Linked DNA regions of Nothobranchius furzeri. The protein of the gene in region 2 binds, or shares a complex with, the protein of the main gene of each other region. Links are inferred from orthologs where the notes say so. Each region holds a gene or a part of one and is shown on either strand. Other genes may lie near its edges.

Evidence for each region. The genes of interacting proteins can lie anywhere in the genome.
Region 1: smarcc2 (region 2) and smarca2 share a complex: the UniProt entries of both Homo sapiens proteins name them as parts of the BAF complex. The link is inferred for Nothobranchius furzeri from reciprocal best matches to the Homo sapiens genes SMARCC2 and SMARCA2.

Annotation. Positions count from the first base shown.
Region 1 is NC_091750.1:37,837,760-37,841,411, forward strand, and holds part of smarca2 (probable global transcription activator SNF2L2), read left to right. Parts: intron 1-1,415; coding exon 1,416-1,796; intron 1,797-3,652. UniProt on the Homo sapiens protein: ATPase involved in transcriptional activation and repression of select genes by chromatin remodeling (alteration of DNA-nucleosome topology).
Region 2 is NC_091743.1:50,346,088-50,350,255, reverse strand, and holds the start of smarcc2 (SWI/SNF complex subunit SMARCC2), read right to left. Parts: upstream 2,805-4,168; 5' UTR 2,756-2,804; coding exon 2,645-2,755; intron 1,715-2,644; coding exon 1,595-1,714; intron 1,494-1,594; coding exon 1,408-1,493; intron 1,287-1,407; coding exon 1,205-1,286; intron 815-1,204; coding exon 722-814; intron 640-721; coding exon 570-639; intron 476-569; coding exon 406-475; intron 240-405; coding exon 164-239; intron 1-163. UniProt on the Homo sapiens protein: Involved in transcriptional activation and repression of select genes by chromatin remodeling (alteration of DNA-nucleosome topology).

The sequences.
Region 1 (3,652 bases), on a different chromosome or scaffold from region 2:
TACGAATCGATACCGGTACTTAACGGTACCAATTTTCGATACTTTTGAGTGTTTATTATTTTAATTCTCTTTTATAATTAAATATCTATTTTTCTCAATATATAACAATATTTGATAAATATCACGATAAATAACATACAACTGTTTGTATTTTAACATCGTCCTTGTAGTTTTATAAGCTGATAATTAAACTGAAGCAAACATCTTTACTGTGAACTAAATTTACTGTGTATCTTCATTCCTTTTGCCGTCTTTTTTTCATTTGATTTTTCCTACTGGGAAGCTAGAATTTCCGAGGAGAAAGCGAACGCACCATTAGCTGATAACAACGGTGGCAATGGAAGCTAACATATCAAGCTAACGTTATCTTAAACAGTTTATTTAGCTGCTGGAGCAGATTAAAACGACGATGCCTCACACTTAGATCGTTGTCACTGGTTTCATCTTCACCCAATCACCCGTCGCATTTAGTAAAGTGAAGCCAAATTTTAGAGCGCGTTCATGTTCTTCTAGTCAAGAATTCGGAGTTCCGAGGAGAAAGCGAACGCACCATTAGTGGAACGGAAGCTAACATATCAAGCTAACGTTATCTTAAACATTTTATTTACCTACCGGAGCAGATTAAGATGAGGATGTCTCACTTAGATCGTTGTCGCTGGTTTCATCATCACCCAGTTACCCATCACATTTAGTGAAGTGGACCCAAGCTTTAGCGTGCGTTCTTTCTACCATGCTGCTGTTTACAACTGGCTCGCAGCGACCGACGACATAACGCTCTTGCGCATGTGCAGCTGTCTAGGCAAGTTCTCGTTATGAAGGACGGGTACCGAAACGAGGCACCGTTTCAAATGACGTGAATCGGTGCTCGGTCGGTACTATGGAATTCGGTCGGTACCTTAAAAAGTACCGAATTCGGTACCCATCCCTACGTCTTCCTGAATCAGTCTTTTCTGAATTCACCTAAAATGTTCTGGTGTTGATTCATTTACAGAGCCCCCCCCGGAGACGGAGACCGCTCCAGCAGCACCTCCAGCTCCCGTTCTCGGGCTCTCCTGTGTTTAATTCTTAAACCTAAAACAGGAGACAGACTCCAGAACCCTCCTGTCAGTGCTTCTCCTCAGGAACGTCCACACGACGCTCACCTCGGCTGAGACGGATGACCGTTCAGACTTTAGTCGCTTTCAAAAACATCAGATTTGTGTCAAAATCAGTACCACATAACCAAGTGACACGGATCGCATTTGAAAAAATCGGATCTGTGCGTTCAGACTGTCACGAAAAAACCAGATGTGGGGAAAAAAAGCGGGTTTGATGAGCTTTTGTCTGCAGTGTGAACGTAGCCTAAGTGAGTGAGCTGGTGTTTCTGGGCAGGAGTGTAAACGTTAAACATTAAACATGCATCCTTCTGGGTTTAGGATACATGTCTCCACATCCTTCCCCGATGGGAATCCACGAGCACGCTTCTAGTCCCATGTCAGGAAGCGGAGGTGGACCCACACCACCCCACATGCCTCCCTCCCAGTCTGCACCTATGATGTCCTTGGATCCTCAGGCCGGCATGCCCAGCATGTCTGCTATGGGACAACAAGGACGAGGACCTTCTGCCTTCAGTCCCGTGCAGCTTCAGCAGCTCAGAGCTCAGATTCTCGCCTACAAGATTCTGGCCCGGGGACAACCGCTGCCAGATAACCTCCAGCTGGCTGTTCAAGGCAAAAGGAGCCTACCCACAATGCAACAGCAACAGCCGCAGCAGCAGCAGCAGCAGGCTCCTGGTGGCAGCCTGTACAGACCTCCAGGTAGTCAGCCCTCCTCACTTTACCACCTAAATCTGAAATCTAGCACTTTTTGATTTGCGCTAAATGACCATTTGGTGTAATTTTGGTCAGAAAACTATGATGGCGGCTCAGACTGGACCAAACAGACAGCCATTGTGTTGTTATGAAACTGCTGCGTAACTTTATTCAATTCAATTCAAAGCTTTATTTATAAAGCGCCGTCCCTGTCGGGGAGGCCAAGGCGCTGTACGCAGTACATAAGAACTGTAAGTCACAATGAATGAATGCATAATAAAAGGGGGTCAAATAGTGCAAAGAGGGTCAAACATTCAAGTAGAAACAGTAAAAACAGGGAAACGAAATCAACATAGAAGAGGGCCGACTAGGGCTGCTCGATTATGGCAAAAATAATAATCACGATTATTTAGGACGATTTTTCAATTTATGTTGATTTTATTTGTTTTTATTCAGTCATAAAATTTCTCAGGGCGCAATCAGGACAAAAATAAGAAACAAATGATCACTAAAATAACTCCTGAATATAAAAAGACCAATATACTTATAGCTCATAGTTTATGACCTAAGGGCTATAGACCTTGGTTTAACTCATTTAGGTCTAACCAGTACAGAACCAAATACCATTATCTTGCAAATACTGACAGCAAGAATTATACAGTGGCATTCATAACAAATAAACACAAATAAATTGATGTTCACAAAATGTTGCATAACATGTATTGAGTCATGTCAAGGTGCTGTAGGAGAGTGCACTAGCACCGTGTCCTCAGAGAGATTAGTTATTAATTATCAGCGTGAGGAACTTATTTCTACCTTATTTATAAACTATTTATTTACAAGTCATCCATCAGTTAATGTAATAATTGTCTCAACCACAGCTGCACCCCACAACCCAGTCTCTCAGCAATCGGGGCAAGCTGCACGTGCGTTTAGCGCACCACACGCTCACATTTAGCTGTTTTTAGTGGCTCAGGAGTCCGCAGGTGCGGTGTGTGTCACTCACTCTGGTTAATCTAACAAGGAGCCGACTCCGAGAGCTGTCTTTAGTGACTGACCCATCACTACATCATTCCCTTTCCTAATGTCCTGAAGAACGGTCCGGAGCGCAGGCGGAGTGTTTAGCTAACCTGCAGGAAATGTCGACGACAGTTATCCAGAAAGTAGCTAAGGGTTACCAGAGATGTTTCTGAGGTGTTCGCTAGGTACTTTTAAGTTAAAAAGTCAAGAAGGGGGTCTGAAAAGCTGCTAGAAATAGCGTCAAAGTCACTGTTGGCAACACTGTGGGAGGAGCGCTTCATTTGCAACTCAGGGCATCGCAAGCGGGAGGAGCAAATAATCGGCTTGTTTTGTTTTTTATAATCGTTCAAAACTCAGATCGTAATCGTGATTAAAATTCGATTAATTGAGCAGCCCTAGGGCCGACCTCAAACACGTTCAGGGAACGCCAAGCAGAAGAGCTGGGTTTTCAGGCCACCGCAGAGAGGGGGACAGCCTAACTGAGGGTGGCAGCTGGTTCCAGAGTGACGGGGCTAGGACTGAGAAAGCCCGGTTCCCACGAGTCCGACACCTAGAACGAGGGACAGCGAGCAGGCCGTGGTCAGAGGAGCGTGTGACGGGGAATGTCTGTTCAGGAGCGTGGCTAGATTGGGGGGGGGGGGGGGGGGGGGGGGCACCACCCTGGAAGAAACTGAAAACAAAGACGAGGTGTTTGAAGCGAGAACGATAGCAGACCGGAAGCCAGCACAGGGAGGCCAGAACCGGACTGATGCGGTCCCGTTTCCTGGTCCAGATTTCTAAGGCAAAGTGAGACGTGTTGTTTTCTAAAACACGTTTAATTACATGGATGTAAAAGAATGTTT
Region 2 (4,168 bases):
TATATATGTATATACATATATATATATATATGTATATACATATATATATATATATATATATATATGTATATAGATACATACATATATATATATATATATATATATATATATATATATATATATATACGAGTAACTAATGATTAGAAATAAAACTAATAAAGACCTTCCTGGGCTTTTCTGGGCTCGGAGGATCCTCCACTGCAGCTTCAATCTCACTTGCAGGAATCCACGTGTCATAACTAAAAACAACAGAAGGGAACAAAATACACATCAAGGCTTGTGAGAATACCACACAAGGAGCAATGTGTAGGTTCAGTGAGCTCACAAAGAAGACCGTTTAGGACTCATTCAATGGTAAAAACGCGTGTGCCGCTGCTGTGTTTGAAGCGCCAAGTCAGAACCAACCTGTCTGGAAAATATCCCCAGTGGAGGAGGACCTGCTTGTCTCTCTTCATCACAGGACGCACCCACTCTTCTGGACCAACAAATATCATGTTGTATTAGAACTAAAGTGGAAAAGCAGCAGAATTCATAAGAAACCCGAGCTGAGCAACATAACAAGGCTTCACCTTCCTCCAGACTGGTGGGGATGGGAACCACAACGTGGGAGCTGGAAGCCTTGTCTTCAGTCACGGAGCCCTGCAGCACAAAAAGGCTGTGTGGATTATACATGCACAGCAGAATAACACTTTTGTTTAAAAAAAACTATGCAAAAACCAACCTGATGTCTTTTAATGATGTCTTTCAGTTTTCCAAGCAGCTTCGGTTCAATGTCAGAACTCAGGTAGATGATGGGTCGGCTCAGGCAGTTGTTCTACAAGAATCAAGGAGAACCAGCTCAAGTTGTAACTCTAGTTTTATGGTTCAAATCCTATAAATGAGCATTTAAGTGTGTCTGATTCAGAGAAAAGGCTGTCTTTTGTTATTTCTATCTTTAAATCTCACCACTCTGATTCTAAAGACACTTCCTAAACGTGATGTAAAAACAGGAGACAAGCAGCGTTCCCAGCACAGATAACCTATTTAGATCGGCTACTCGCAGAAACACAAAAGAAACAAAAACCTCAATGTTTAAATGTTTAGAATAAATCAGAAAAACCCCACAATTATCTGACAAAGATGAAAAACAATTATTACAGCATAACTGTCCAAGGAATGAGTTTTAAAAGCTTAACGGTGAATAAAATCAGTGAGAAAAACTCACCTGTACTAAAGATTTCTCAATTGTCATGAACATTTCCACATTTCGGTCCATCCTCGATGGATTCTGGAAGTCAAACCTGCGCCTACCAGGAAATTAAACTGGAGTTACACACAAAACAGCAGGACAGCCTAAATGCAGCAGAGCACTGCCACTTTTATTTCACTCAAGATGCATGATGAGACCAGTCAGAAAGAAGCTCTTACCATCCTTGGTCACTCTTGAACTTGTAGGCAGCAGCCAGAATGTGGCAGAGAGCCCCCCCTGATTTAAAGTCTAGAAAACACTTCATCTGCAGAAAGAAAATAAAACAGCTTCATATTACATCGCCTGAGGGCAAAGGGGTGAGTAATCTGTTAGAGAGAGGGGTGGGGGTAAATAAGTGTGACATACCGGCAGCTTAGTGAGGGGAGGGTTGCTGACATGTCTGCCAAACACCTCCTCCTGGAACTGGAGCAGCTGGACCACCAGGCTGGACAGGGATTTGTTGGTGGGGGGCTCGGCCTGGATGTACTGGGGAGATGGGAAAAACTTATGGGAACTCTGGAAGTTTCACTTTTATCACTATTCCTGTGTATGCATCTTTTATTTATGGGTGTAAATAATGTAGATGGATCTGTATGTTTATCAGTTTATATAGTATTATTGCTGGGTAAACTCAGTATATTTCTCATTCCTCGCTTCATATGGGTGTTTTATACATTAGCAACACTATATAAATAAAGCATTTATTCCATCGTCCTTTTGTGAATCCTATCTCATTAACTGTCTATTGCCTAAATCTCTGCATTCTTTTATACACATGAGCAGTGTTCACATATGTGTATTTGTTTGTTTCTTATTCTAGTCATTATTAAAGTGTGTTATTGTAACTGGATAATGGAGACTTCGGTGGACAAGGAAAACTAGATTTCTTTCGTAAAAAGCTTTAGATCTTTTTAAATAAAATGTGATTAATTCCACAATTATCCATCATTAATGAATGGATACTTGTGACTTTTTTGATCATTAACACCATGTTTTGTTAAATCTACGTGATAAAGCGCTGGTCAGTGTTATTTAACACCGCTCATGACTCCAGAGCCAGAGGCGCGCCACACAGCCAACATCTGGATGTGAGCCGCGTTACCGTTAGCCGATTAGCTTAGCTAGCCTGCTTTGCCAAAAATATCTCTTTTTCTAAACTCCGCTCCCTCCGGCGGGACTGTGTGGTGTCTTTGGATCCTTTTGGCTACAGCAAGACCTACAGACACCGACTTTTGCGGCCGCGTCTGATGTTGCGGTTGGCTCAGCATCCTTTTTTAGTGAATCAAACAGCTGGACGCTCAGCAGCACCCTCCCTCCTCTCTTTGTCACTGCCTCTGCCTCCATAGGTAAGCGCGTACGTTTCTGGGCAAAATAAGAAAGCTCCGTGAGCACGCTTATAAAACATGCGCTCAGTACCTTTTTGTAATTCTTGCCCAGCCAGACGCGGACATTATCAAACTGCGAAACGGTGTCAGATGCTTCGAAATATTTTACATTGGGGCCGCCGTCTTTCTTCCGCACCGCCATCTTTGCCTGCAGACTACCAGTCGGTGTTGGCTGCCTCCTGGCGGACAGAGGGCGTCTCTCCAATAGCTTGATAGCACAAAGCGCTGTGTCGACGGCAGACGAGCAGCAGGGGGCAGAGTTGTGCAGATAATAATTTATCCTGCAACATAGTTTAAAACCTGCTTTCAGCTTGTAAGAAAGTAGTTGCACAATTTACACTTTTTATAATCGTGATTTTATTAATAGGTGGAGCTGCGTTGATTTATTGCTGATAAAATACATTTGCACATACAGACTTGATCTGGAAGGGCATAAAACTGTGCATTTCATGTATGTTCCCATTTGTGCTTTTTTTATAGCCCATTTTATCCAGAAACCCAATAATAAAACAAATATAATTACTATATTCACACATACACAAACAATCCACTTACTTTTAGTCATTTTGAAATTTGTAGTAGCCATTTTTTCTATTATTTGTTGATAATTATAATTTTTTTCTCTTTGTTTCATTCAAAGTGTCAAAATATATATATATATACAAAAAACATACAAAAACATGCATAAACATGAACACCAAACAATTTGAATGAAAAGGGGCAGAAGGAAGAAATATCTTACATTATCTACCCCTATTGACAAACCAAACTTTTTAATAATGCTTCCATACAATTCTCAATAAACAACAAAACAAAACACAGATTCATTATATATTCTTGTAACTTACAGACCTAATCAGACACCAACTTAATTTAGGTTATTGTAGTTCTGTAATACACTTGATTTGATACATTTTTTTAATATATTTAGTGACTTTGATTCTTTTATGTCTTTGCTAAGGTTGTTCCATATTCTCAATTGCTTATTCTTGCTCACTTTAAATATATTTTTAAACATTTTCTAAGTGATTTTTTATATTTTTACAATTTTTTATAGTTTTTGTTTTTGTGAAGCGCCTCATGATTTTTATCTTGAGAGGCGCTATAGAAATGATATTTTCTTCTTCTTCTTCACGCCATTTACAGAGATAGTCATTTCTTTCATTCTGGTTCTAAATTTCGTTTTTTTAAATACTTCAGTTCCTTTAAGAAATAATTACTGACTCTTTTTTCAAACATTTTCTGAATGTTGGTGGGTAACGTATTGGTTTTAGCTTTATACATTGTTTGCAATATTTTCATTTTCACTAGATCATAAAATTTCATTAGTTTATATTTGATGAATAACGGATTGGATGGATCTCCATAGTGATTGTTATTAATGATTCTCAATGCTCTTTTCTGTAGAATAAAGAGTGGTTGTGTATGAGTTTTACATGTGGATCCCCATATTTCTACACAGTAATTCAAATATGGAACAATTAGTGAGTTATACTAAGTCAGCAATCAGAACTATTCAGTAAAAACTTAACTTTATGTAGTACTGCAATGGCTT